3 linked regions of the Arabidopsis thaliana genome follow. The protein of the gene in region 3 interacts with the protein of the main gene of each other region in a pairwise test. Each region holds a gene or a part of one and is shown on either strand. Other genes may lie near its edges.

Region 1 (3,801 bases), 3.7 Mb from region 3:
AACTTAAAATAACACATAACGAATGTTAGCTAACATAAACATATTCACGTTGTAAATGCATTACGTTTTAATCTTAGAAATTCATGAATGTCTATATTCTTAAAGAATACCATAAATTTATCAGTACAGATTCGACATCCCATCAATCATTCGCATAGTTATAGCTCTAAAGATCTATCCAGTACAATCATATCAAACAAAGAAGGCTAAGACATACGAATGGACATGATAGAACATGAACAACAAAATTTTGTTTTCCACTAGAGCATATGTTCTCATAGCATTAAACCTTTCGAATAAGCATCTTCTCAATACTATTTAGCCTCACGAGGGTTATAAATTCTCACATTTCCCTACTGACTTCTCACCAAACAAAAAAAACTAGAAGAAGAACGATACATAAACTATGCTCACGCAAGAACTTGCGCGCATTATGGGGGGTGACGATGATGAGTATTGGTGAGGACCGGGTAATCTGCATCCTGAGGTTTAAAGCTTAATTTACGCAGGAAATTTGTATACGCATATACGTATGTGTATTAGTATACCTTTTAGTCCTCGGGATGCGGATTACCTCGTTCTTACTTACAATACACGTACTCGGAGACACGATTACTCATCATCTAGAGGTTGGTTTTGATCCTCCATTTCTTCTAAGTTTAAACATCATTAATAAGATATTTAAGACTGAATATCACCACACATATATAGAGTCAGTCTCATAGATGATGAATTGGTAATATTATATGACACTACTGACTTAAAATTATTATCATATAATATTACTAATTATATTAAAGTTTTTTTTCGTCAACATACACACTAGTTAAAAATTTGAATTTAGAAAAGTTCAATTGATGACTCATTTCAGGAATGCTCGAAACAATGGCAACGACGCTTGTGTATGTTTGAATTAGTGATATATCCGTTTTATTCATACTTAATTAAACTGGTAACTCTAACTAATACGCTGTATATTTACCTTTTTGTCTAGTGAATAAAAAAAAATCACGACGACCTAGTTTTATGTCTTTTATCTATTGCTCAAAGGTCGCTCATTGCCTTTGACTAATATGTTTAGACTTGTGATTTCTGCTATTCAATTAAATTAATTAACTGCGTTTATTAAATTTCAGTTAGGTGACTCATAAAAAGAAAACATAGATTAATTAAGTTATATATATAGTATAATGATGTACATACAAATTCAAAAGTACTATGGATCTTGCTTTGAAAACGAGTCAGTCAATTGATTTTGTAGATTTATTCAGTTTTCATAGATGTCCAACACTGGAATAATTGTTGATAATTTCAGGAAAAGCATATGTTAAAATAATGCTAATAACAAAAACAAAGCTAGTGATGTGTATCAAACTACCAATTGTGCAGAGACAAAAACAAAACGCCAAAATGCTGTGTTGTACCCTTTTTTGTCAACTGCGTATCTGTTTTTTTTTCAGTATAAAAAACTTAAGAAATCTCTAAACCTAATTATTGAGAGTAAAAAAAAAAACAAATAAATAATCAAATTTTACTGAAATAAATTGTAATGATCAAATATATTTAAGCATTGAATTTTTTTTGTGTAGTCCTAAAGTTGAATCTTGAAAGGCTGCTGATCTTAATTTGTCTTTTTTTTTTTGTTCGTGCAAAGCTGCTGATCTTTGTTATTGTCTCATATGTAAGTGGTTAGCATAAAATAATATTAATTTCTTGAATATGCGTTGTATATTTTGGTGACCATATACAACTACTTACATCGATCTTGTAAGAATTGCACATAGTAAAGTAAATATATCACAAATCATATGTCCGATAACTTCATCTATTTATATATTTAATGATGAAAATTGTAGTTTGATAAAAAAAATAAAAAAAATAATGATGAAAATTGTAGAAACGAAAGTATTTTAATCGTAAAATGGAAAAAATTGTTAGATTTTTATTGATCATTTTTTGGTAGTTGCTATACTGTTTATAGGTTTTATATTTAGTTGTGGAAATAATTTATAACTATAACAGAATAGATTATTCATGTAATGACATAGAAACAGTTGTTTTCACTTTTCTTGTTTTGTCTTGGTGCCGTGGTAGATTTTGATAATAAAATTAGAGTGTTGATTAATTTATATTTGCCAAAACAAAATAAACAAATAAATAATTTCAAGTTGACCAATTCATATTTCTTGATGGAAAACACTGATCTCTTCTCTTCTATTCTTTCTTTCTCTTATGAGGAATTTTCACAATCTTTGATCATCTTCTCCTTTATTCTACGGAAGAAATCTATATATTCTATATATGGAAAACATCAAAAACCCTAAAAACGCAGATGATTGTTCCGATAGCATATCAAAAAACAGTCATCAAGGCGTTGATGATTCCCTGAACCAGTCAAGATCTTACGTATGCAGTTTCTGCATAAGGGGCTTCTCGAATGCTCAAGCACTAGGAGGGCATATGAACATCCACAGAAGAGACAGGGCTAAACTCAGACAAAAGCTTATGGAAGATAATAAGGATGATGTCGTCGCCGAGAGTGATGCATCCGAAGTTGTGTCTCTAGACCTTAATGAACAACAACAACAACAAGGAGAAGCTTTGACATGTGATGATCACGATCAATATGTTGATAACGATATAAGTCCTAAACAGAAATTAGAGTTTTGGGTTCAAGAAAGCAAGCTTGATACTAATGATCATGGAAAGGTCACGGAGGCTAGCATAGATGGTTCGAGTTCGAGTCATCATCGTGATATTGAAGTATTGGATCTCGAGCTTCGGTTAGGCCAAAGCGTCGTAAAGAAGAAGACAACATAGTCTCTGAACGATGAATCATATATTGATTGCATTGTATCAATGGGAAAATCCCTATGAAACACCAAACTCTCTAATCCGTCTATTACAAATGGATTCGTGGCTCAAATTGTATTGTAAGGTATGCATTTGTATCTTATTGCTACCATTATCGTTGTTGTACCTTGTATTGATATTTGTTTCCTTGCTTGGGTTAATTTCACCAACAACTTTTGTAAATGACATACACGTCCAAACAAACAAACATATATATAGAAATTATATATATTTGGTGTTTGCTTTATAGTTGTTTAGGGAAAATGAATAACTAATAAGCTTAACTTAGCTCAACATTATTGATCTGGTCATGGTAGAGACTATTCAAACTTGTTCACTGAGAAATATTGTTACAGTTGAGTTATATATTGGTAGTCGTCCTCAGATTTTCGAGTAAGCATTTGCCAATTATGACTCTTATATTCGAGATTAGCACTCAACATTTAATTATATGTTAGCAAATAGTATAACATTAGCTAGCAAACTTATAAACGATAAATTTGACCAAAACAACATAAACCAAGGTCACTTTATCTACTTTTTGTTCTCTGAATTCTGAAAACGAATTTGAATATCGTATTCTAACAGTGAATATTGCATTTATACTAAAATTTACGATCATAGCCATAAATAAGTAGTTATGTATAGTCAAACTATATGTAGTTATACAGTACTTTAAGACGTTTGAACCGCTAAGATTCCCATAATCTGCATGATAATATAATGTATGTAAACTGATACATGCACAATTGCACATGATAAATATAACTAAATTGATACATGCCGATTTGCGCATGATAATTATAATTATATGCTCTATAACATGTTAGGATTTAAAATGAAAAGAGCAAATGGTTCAAGGCTGCAACTTGGTGACGCCACCAATGATGACCTTTTACGTCTTAACCACGTTCCGGTTTGGTTCGAGAACTTGTTTGAGATCCGCTT
Region 2 (5,844 bases), on a different chromosome or scaffold from region 3:
CAAATAAGGCACTTTGCTTAGATGTACCGGATGCTTATGAATTACTGAGTAGGTTAACTTTAACCGGGTTTTATCGTCATTAAACCGGAGAAATTCATCTAGTAACCAAATGCTCTGCTGGACCTTTCTTTCAGTGAGCAACTATAGGTGGGTTTTTGGCAGTTGATGTACCATAATTGGTGCAAACACACATTTTTCTTGAATTTTTGTTTAACTTAAATAAAGTTACTTCGTTTTCTTGTTTTTTTTAATATGAATAAAAAAAATCAACCATAACTGATAGTAGGTTGGTTATCTTTATCAAAACAAATAAAGTTAATAGGCAGAAAAATAATTGTCTATAGAATCAATTATGAAAATGCCATTTTTTGGGATGGCATTTGTGGATTTTGCCCTTTTTTTAATAGTTTGTGAATTTTGCCATTTTTCAGGTTACGTGAATGAATATACGTTTTATTCATTATGTTTGGGTTTACTCGGTTGTGGTTGTTCTTAGGGTTTAGTATTTTGTGTAAACTACGTATTTTTACCAAAAAAAGTCCGAAATCCATATATTTTTAAATCTTAGAAAATGGCTTATCCGTAAGATTTTAGTAAAAATGGCAATTTCAAAAGATCTCTATAAAAAATGGCAAAATCAACAATAATCCCTTGTCTATATGGTGGTATTTCTGCTAAAAGTGACTTATGGGTAGATTTTTTAGCTTCATAGATTCTTTGTCGAAAAAAAATTACTTTGTACATTTTAGTGGAGTTATTTAAATTTCCCAATTGAACAAAACCATATATTGATGAAATTCGCAAATGCAATCCAAAAATAAATATGTTCCACTCTTTTGGTTAGCTTTTAACTAAAGATGCGTTTTACTTTATGTAAGTGGTTGATCTTTTGGCAATGGGGGACAATGACTATACAATCTAAGAGATCATTTTAACGAATATCATTCATATTTCATCCTCTTCTTCAAATTTCAGTTTCACTAATTAACCACGTTTCAATTGTAGTGTATCGCGAGCTGTAAATATTATCTAATTTATGTTACATAATCATAACTGTAATCTTTATTAGACAAAAACATATATACCTCACTGCAAACACCTTCAAACATGGATAACTTGATTTAGGCATACAAATATTATTTCTCATTTATTTGATATGACCTATATTATGTGGCTATTTTATCAGTTTTAGTGTTTTTTATGATAATTGAACCACTTAAATGTTTATCTCATTTTTCAATTTATTTTAAACTGAATTAAAAAGTAAGAAAGTATGATCCAATAAGGCATCGACACATGGAAACCCATTTTAAGGTAGAAGATGCTTTTCTGCGGCTTCTGAAAACAACTAGAAAATGATATGATACGTTGCTTTCATTTATTGTAAGTATTATTTAGTTTTAATTCACGCGCTTCATATCCAGCTGCAAGACTACTACAACTTGCAATTATGAGACTCTCGTTAGAAAATTACCAGGTATAATTTAAAAACAAAAAGAACTAGAATATATTGGCAATTATTTGAAGTAAGAAAATATGAGATTCTTGACCGAGTTGTTAAACTATCAAACCCAAAAGTTTTGGTTAAAAAATAAGCTAGTACTATGTACATATGTTTTATGTTGAAAATATATTAAACTGTATGTAAGAGGGAGTGTACTTTCATTTTAGATATACATTTCCAGCTAGTACGAGGTCTCTATATATAAACTTTCTTAATATCGCTAAACAAATTTTACTTTCAAGTTTGTAATGTGATAAGTGAAAGACCGTATATACATACACATGTTAATCAACTGATAACCTTTGTGCCTCGTGTGTCTAGTTACTAGTCAACCATCAAACGTGCATGATGCTGTTTTTCTTAGAGTACTATTGTTGTGTTATATATAACTAAACATAAACAATTTGCTATTATGATATAAACATAGAATTTTCAAGCAATGATATGTTTAGATGTTTTGTATAAATATTCCATAAATAGTAGACACCCATATATACACAAACATGAATTCTACCTGAGGAGAAACACATAGATGTTCAAATTAAATAATAACCCTATAATGAAAACTCTAAAGTAAGTAATACGAAATAAAAATTTATCCTTTAAATAACATATAAACATATATATACAAGTTTAATTGGTAATTGTATCACAAGAGCCAATTATTTGGTGACTGTATCACACGTGCTTAAAGAGAGCGTGGGAATGAAAGTAAAGAAGAATAAAGAAGCAGAGAGATGGGCTAGAAATGAGAAAACACACCAAACCCTAACCTCACCCTCACACATTTCTTATCTTTTGCTCTCAATAGATTCCATTGATTCAAAACAAAATTTTCATTAAGATTTCACAACCTCCACACACTTCCAAACACAATTAAAGAGAGGAAAAAGAATCAATAACCCTATAAATAAAAAATCAGACAAACAGAAGTTTCCTCTTCTTCTTCCTTAAGCTAGTACCTTTTGTTCTTGAAATTAGGGTTAATTTCTTTTTTCCAAATACCATCAATTCTCCAGACCATAAAAACTCAAAAAGATCAGATCTTTCCTCTGAAAAAGAGATACCCAACTTATGTTTTTGTGTGTCTGTATATAGATAAACATTACATACCCATATTTGTGTATAGACATAAAAAGTGGAAATTAAGGTAACAAAAAGAAATGGGAAGAGGAAGAGTAGAGCTGAAGAGGATAGAGAACAAAATCAACAGACAAGTAACGTTTGCAAAGCGTAGGAACGGTTTGTTGAAGAAAGCTTATGAATTGTCTGTTCTCTGTGATGCTGAAGTTGCTCTCATCATCTTCTCCAACCGTGGAAAGCTCTATGAGTTTTGCAGCTCCTCAAAGTAAACAACTCTCTCACTCTTTATCAGTTTCTTGATTGAGTTTTTGCTAGATCTGAGCTTAGATCTTTGTCTCAAGGACTTGTTATATATAGATCACACGATCTTGATTTCTACGAAGTTGAGTTAATTAGATTTCTTGATTTCATTTTCTAGGGTTTTTTTCCAATTCTTGAAATTTAAGATCTGGTTTTTTTGTTGTCAATGATTTAGAACTGTGAATTTTGTAATCGAATAGATTCCAAATCCTGATATGCAATCTGAAAAGTTTTATATAATTAATATATGTCTGTGTGATTGGAAACTTAAAAGTTGTTCACAGATTTCTATGAAAATTACAAGTATCCAACGTAGAATGATAATATATGGTTACATGCATTAACCATTTGTTAGTTCATCATACTTTATGGTGGTTAAAACTTCAAACGCGTGTATATCTGTGAAGGCTTTGATTGTTTGTTTTTTCTTAAAAACAATGTTTAATAGATTTTTAATTATATGTTAAAATAGTTTTGCTTACATGCATTCAAGAAAATATAGCGATTAATTCCTTTTTTCAAATCACAATTTGTGAATCAAACGAAAACGTAAGATATTGCTTGCAAATGATAGGATTGAACTATTGATATTTGTAAATATAAATACGAAACTTTACGTTTGAAAGTTGAAACAATCAAATCCAAATCAACTCGTATATAATCAGATAAATAATGGAAACAATCTTCAATTTTGATGGAAGAATACTTTAAAACTTGAAGAGCTTTTTTTTTATGGTGATTTATAGGTTTAGATCTCCAAAGTCAAGTATGATCTTTTTAATAAACTCTTATTCTCTCTTTTTGAGTTATTTTCAGCATGCTCAAGACACTTGATCGGTACCAGAAATGCAGCTATGGATCCATTGAAGTCAACAACAAACCTGCCAAAGAACTTGAGGTGTTCTTAATTCAAATACTATTTTAGATTCCTATCATATCATTTCAAGAAAGATCTTTTTTAAAAGTTTGTTTTCGTGAAATATTTCAGAACAGCTACAGAGAATATCTGAAGCTTAAGGGTAGATATGAGAACCTTCAACGTCAACAGAGGTACATATCTGTCTACCTCCGTATATTTACTCAATTCTGTATCCATGTAGATTCATATTTGTAGGTGTGTGTGGCTTTTGTTGGTGCAGAAATCTTCTTGGGGAGGATTTAGGACCTTTGAATTCAAAGGAGTTAGAGCAGCTTGAGCGTCAACTGGACGGCTCTCTCAAGCAAGTTCGGTCCATCAAGGTATCTTTATACATGGAATCAATGATTCAAATGAGATTAATTTGTGTTGTTTAATTATAACTACTATGGTGGTATGATGATTGTTTGCAGACACAGTACATGCTTGACCAGCTCTCGGATCTTCAAAATAAAGAGCAAATGTTGCTTGAAACCAATAGAGCTTTGGCAATGAAGGTATAATTACAGAATAAATGCATTTGGTGCCTTGCGATCAATCTCTTTCACAGAGTTTAAGTTTCTAAACATTTTTGGAAACATCTCTAGTTTTCTTGTTTCTGATTATAGTCTTTTGGTGAAATGTAAATGTTTAGCTGGATGATATGATTGGTGTGAGAAGTCATCATATGGGAGGAGGAGGAGGATGGGAAGGTGGTGAACAGAATGTTACCTACGCGCATCATCAAGCTCAGTCTCAGGGACTATACCAGCCTCTTGAATGCAATCCAACTCTGCAAATGGGGTAAATCCTTTGCCTTAAACAATCATCTGCAAATCAGCTTGTGTACTTCACTACTAAGATTGTACTTATATAAGGTTCTTTAGTTACTTGGTGTAAAGAGGATCATCAATGTGTGTGAACCTTTTAAGTTGCTGTTTTGGTGATGATGATGATGATGACAGGTATGATAATCCGGTATGCTCAGAGCAAATAACTGCGACAACCCAAGCTCAGGCGCAGCAGGGAAACGGTTACATCCCGGGGTGGATGCTCTGAGAGTCATGTGCTGTGTTAAAGCTCACCAACAAAAGATCTTTTATATATATAAAAGTATAGACACAAGACTTTGGATTTGTAGACATAAGTGGCTATATATAATGGTCCTGAGGATCTTCAAGACATTTGTATCTTTTGGGAATCCTTGCTTATATTAAGAATTCAAATGTGTGGAACTTGTTTTAACACTGAACCATGACACTGGTTTATTATCATGTAATGAGAAACATTTGGGTTACAATGTGATCTCTCCTTGACCCAAATACCCAATGTAAACTATATGCCAAAATACAAGCATCACATATATATTCATAAATTCATAAAAGGTTAAAAGTAATCATACAAAATGATGTAAAAAGTTTCATGCCTTGAACAAAACACTGCGCCAAAGGCAAATCCTAAGAAACATGTCAGATTCCTGTGTGCATCTGTTCTGCTGCTGCTGTTGTTTTCTCTCAAGAGGGTTTCCTCAGAACTCCATAAGCCAAACGTGCAGAGAGACGTTTCCTCATTTCCCCATCATATACAATATCATATATTGTTAAAAAATATATTCACATCTCTCTGCTGCCTTGTCAATCTCCCCAGGTCCGGTCTAGGCAGTACAAGACAGGATCAATGGCAACAAGTTACGGTGTTTCGTGGAACTCCATCACCTGCAAATGAGACGAATTCACAGCAGAGAAAAAAATATTCTTTAGTCAACATGAATGAGAAATAATTCAAATGTTCTGAGTTTCAGGAAGAATGATTAGCCATATTTGTCATAGACAAGACAAGTAAAGATTTTACGCATGTGCTTCTAGGGTTGTTGTACATCTTTCATTCTATTGATCTCTGGATCACTCGTCTATTTACGCGTGATGGTGTCTGAGTCTGACTCTGAAACACTAGTAAATGAGAAGCCGAAAACTGGCTTGGAAGAACATGAAAAGTGTTTACCTTTCCACAAACAGGGCAGTTTTCACTTCTCTCCATCCATTCATAAATGCAACTGAGGTGG
Region 3 (4,135 bases):
ATTTTTGGTTATCATTTGCTTGGAATAAAAAAAAGAGTTGGATATTTCTCTTCTAGAAGTAATAGTTTCATTTTAGACCAAAAAAAAAAAAGAACTAGAAGTTTCATCACCCAAATATTTATTTAAAGATTGTAGTTTTGAGCAACTCATAATAATCTTTCTTCCCTGAGGTCATATCTGCCTAAGAAGATTAGACCACAATATGAACAAACATGAAAAACTTTTGATTCAACGAATCTAAATGTCAAGACATACCCTTATGGGGGGAGAGAGGCTGAGACTTATCTGTCAAAATTAAGAAAAGAAGGAGAAGCTAAACAAATTTTTCTACAGCCTGCACCAGCAATGGTGGTCTCTCTTAAGGTCCCTTACAATATAAAAAAAAAAAAAATAATTAAAATGGAAGGGACACAGGAGAGAAGGGCTCCAAAAACCCTTATATAAGGGACCTGAAGATTAAATGTACATGTGTAGGTTTTTTAGTTGTCAAACTATGTTAAAAAATTAAAATATTATTATTTTTTGGTTTTTTAGGGACTGTCATCATCCCACCCATTGGGGTTGCTCTAATAGATTGTGATAAATGATCACTCATGCGTACAGTAAGAATGTTATTATGGTTAACTTTTTTTTTTTTAATAACTCCAACATTAACATAAATTCTATTATGATATAGTAATTGTTTGTAATATGCAAGATTAACAACAAAAGAAAAAGAAACGTTCTATACTATCACTCTTTCTATTTAATCCTATCTCTCATCTTCAATATTTTCTTCACTCCAAGGCTAATTTGTCTGCAATAGCCTTTTGACGATCCCGCAAGACTTGTAAGTGGCTACGGATCTGGTCACCAGTGAGACCCTCTTCAGAAATTAGTTCGTTTATGGCTTTGGGTGTTGCACCTGAAAAAAAAAAAAAAAATTAGGAAAATAGTTAGGAGTTGAAAGAATAAACAAAATAAATAAAAAAATTATAAAGTTGCATACTGAATAATCCCCCAAGTCTGACAACTGCGTCATCAAACACTAGTTGAAGCCTATTTGTCCACACCAAGTCTGGGTTTCGGATTGGGTTTGGGATTGGGTTAGGGTTAGGATTAGGGTTAGGGTTTGGGAATAGAGCAGGTAGGCCTGGAGAGATCTGTGGTATTGGGTTTATGAAATTTGGTATTGTTGGTTCTTGGGCCTGCGGACGGAGAAACGGGTTAACAAACGGTGACGGAGAGGAGGATAAAGGTGACGGAAAGATGTTACTAAGCCGTGCTCGCTTAGATGATGATGATTCGGGTGGCTGAATAGAGGATGATGGTGACGACGGAAAGAATTCCCTCAAAGATGGTCGATCAGACGAATCGGGAGGTCGAACAGAGTATGGCATTGACGACGGAAAGAACGAAGATGTTGCGAGAGTTGAAGATGAAGATGGCTGATGAGAGTATGACACTGACGACGTAAAGAATTCCCTCAAAGATGCGGGTGGTTGAAGAGAGGAGGATGACATCGACGGTGGTTGAAGAGACGGTGACGATGATGTTGCGAGAGTTGAAGATGACGGTGGTTGATGAGAGTATGACACTGATGACCGAAAGAAGTCTATCAACGGTGCGGGTGGTTGAAGAGAGGATGATGACGATGGTGCGAGAGTTGACGATGACGGTGGTTGAAGAGAGGAGGATGACATCGATGGTGGTGGAAGAAAGTTCTGACGGAGATCCATAAGTAGAGCAATTTCTGCGTTTCCAAGACCCAACAAGATTTGAGAATGAGAGAGGAACAACTTTAAATTACAAGGTGAAGGAGAAGAAATTAACCTGCTTCTCTCGCGGTACTCCGATCTTGAATTATCTTCGCCGCATCTTCATCTTCATCTTCTTTCGTCTCTTCATCCAACTTTTTTAAATGCTCATCTATCTTCACGATTTTCTGAGAATGTGATTCAATAGAACTTAGCTCTTCAAGAAACTCATCAAGATTAGTCATGGCTTGCAACTTAAGAAATTTGATTCATCACGTTCTATATATATATAGGAGGAATAATTTGCAGATGGAATCACAAATTTACCCTCTCTAGAGAGAGCAAAAATACCCATACTGTTGAGAATTACTAAAAACCCACATGTTATGATGTTAACGCAGATATCAATATAAATGTTTGCTCTAGCAATCCAAGGAAGTGAGCTTTATGAAAATCGAATTCAGGCGTACAGAGAACTGATTACTTTCTTGGAAATACATGTTTCCAATAATTATACATCATGCTGCATGCGTGTGATTTTTCTTATTTTCTCCATTACTTTGCTAACTCTAAAATGGTCTCAAGTTACTTTGCTCTCAACTTTTAAAGCTATCAACTCCAGTATAAAATAAATTAATAAATATTATACAACTTAAGGTTATGTAACATACCAAGCAATTAGGACGTACATTAATTGGTATATTTCTCCTGATTTCATATTTGTAGCCTAACTAATAAAACTGCAATTATTTTATATTAAAAACAGCGTACACGGTACATCAATGCAGTTTCTAGCTTCGTGCATGGTGAAAGTTGTTTTTGCGGCCGATCTGATTTTCATAAAAAAAAAAAAAAGGATTTTCCACTATGAATCGGTTGCTACAAGCCTACAACTTTTCTTCTTAATATATGAAGCATTTATAATAATAAAAATAGGTACATGCAGATCAGATGATAAGATGTCCCATATATATAGATAATACCCTAGCTAGGTCGGGTTGATGTTGAAGAAAAAACAAAACCCAATTAACCGCGTTTATTGCATGTAGCATGAAGTTTATGTGATCATCAGTTCTCATAGATCCTCGTCAGCCTTCCTCTTCCTCATCTCCCCGAGTAGAGTTTGCCTTAAACTATTAAAGTAAAAGTAATCATTAAACGGTTGATAATGATCATAATTAATCATCTAAGTCGTCAATATCATTAAAAATTTCTCTAAAAAGTCGTCAATTGTTAAACTTACTTTTCTAAAACCTTACGCGCCTCCGCTCTTTTTATGGAGCGAATCCTAGCCCTCTCTTCGACAATCGCCTTGGCTACACGAATATGAAACACATAAAGATAAAAAAGGAGAATAAAATAGAAAGAATGATCAAATAGATACTCTGAATAAATACCTATCTTTAGATAGGCCACCTCCTCCTTAAGTTGTGCAACATATTCATCAATTCTGGATATTATTTCCGGAAATGATTCGATTTTTGAGATTTCTTGCTCGAACTCATTACAATCCTTCCAGCTCCTGGGGATTGAAAGCAAAGGGAAGCTTGGGAGAGAAGAAAGGATTTTAAATCAGAGTGGAAAAAACACATTAAAAACCTAGAAATTACCTCTTCTTAAAGTATCCTGGACGAGGATGACGAATTAAGAATAAATGTGAACGGGCCTGTCGGATTTCAAATGTGTAATGCGAGTGCACCATCTTGAGAACGAGATCTGTCGTCTCTCTATTATAGTCTTCTTCTCTTTTGCAACAAAGTTTACTTTTGTCGTTGAATTTAATGATAGGGATAAGATCAATAATATCAGTGTTATTTAAAAATACAAAGATTGTATTTATTGGAGTACTAGGATCTTTAGTAAAATCTAAACAAACTATAATTTAGATTTCAATACTGAAATTCTAAACAGAGTTTATATATTTTAAAGAAGCATTTAATGTATATATTTGTTTCCTTCGATAATTCTTAAAAACATTTAGAGAAAACGAAAATTGAACGCCATAACTATTAGTGATGATCATGATCACTGCTGAACTCTACTAGAGACGATACACTACAATGTAAAAACTGATGGATGATATTTATAAGTTAACACAACATTTTATTGGTTTTAGGATCAGAGAAGAATTTGAGAAAGCATGATCAATGATGTTCATTCCGATCGCCTCACTTTATTCTTCCATATACACAAAAAATTACACAATGTGTGTGTTTGATTTTTTCTTTGTTTTTCGTTGCTTTAATCATATATAGATTTTTCCGTCCAACTTTGTCTTTTTTGAGCTTTTGTGCTTTTTGTCTCTAATAATCTGAATTACTCTAAACGAATCTTTCTTTATTTTTTCATAACTGAAAAATTGCATATGATAAAATTAATGCAAATCACTATTTTTTTTC

Evidence for each region. The genes of interacting proteins can lie anywhere in the genome.
Region 1: the proteins of AT3G19070 (region 3) and TAC1 interact in a two-hybrid assay, tested with the Arabidopsis thaliana proteins (one large-scale study listed by BioGRID).
Region 2: the proteins of AT3G19070 (region 3) and SEP1 interact in a two-hybrid assay, tested with the Arabidopsis thaliana proteins (one large-scale study listed by BioGRID).

The regions. Positions count from the first base shown.
Region 1 is NC_003074.8:2,853,840-2,857,640, forward strand, and holds TAC1 (telomerase activator1), read left to right. Parts: upstream 1-2,197; 5' UTR 2,198-2,301; coding exon 2,302-2,820; 3' UTR 2,821-3,058; downstream 3,059-3,801. UniProt on the Arabidopsis thaliana protein: Activation factor which mediates telomerase activity and potentiates responses to auxin through the regulation of BT2. Binds in vitro to the DNA sequence 5'-GACAGTGTTAC-3' of the BT2 promoter.
Region 2 is NC_003076.8:5,150,591-5,156,434, reverse strand, and holds SEP1 (K-box region and MADS-box transcription factor family protein), read left to right. Parts: upstream 1-2,181; 5' UTR 2,182-2,667; coding exon 2,668-2,852; intron 2,853-3,703; coding exon 3,704-3,785; intron 3,786-3,875; coding exon 3,876-3,937; intron 3,938-4,026; coding exon 4,027-4,126; intron 4,127-4,216; coding exon 4,217-4,300; intron 4,301-4,437; coding exon 4,438-4,586; intron 4,587-4,714; coding exon 4,715-4,841; 3' UTR 4,842-5,101; downstream 5,102-5,844. Other genes in the region: AT5G15790 (RING/U-box superfamily protein), read right to left, coding at 5,664-5,844. UniProt on the Arabidopsis thaliana protein: Probable transcription factor. Functions with SEPALLATA2/AGL4 and SEPALLATA3/AGL9 to ensure proper development of petals, stamens and carpels, and to prevent the indeterminate growth of the flower meristem.
Region 3 is NC_003074.8:6,591,619-6,595,753, reverse strand, and holds AT3G19070 (Homeodomain-like superfamily protein), read right to left. Parts: upstream 1,982-4,135; coding exon 1,813-1,981; intron 1,733-1,812; coding exon 989-1,732; intron 905-988; coding exon 777-904; downstream 1-776. Other genes in the region: AT3G19055 (uncharacterized protein), read right to left, coding at 2,812-2,863, 2,980-3,052, 3,134-3,258, 3,347-3,438.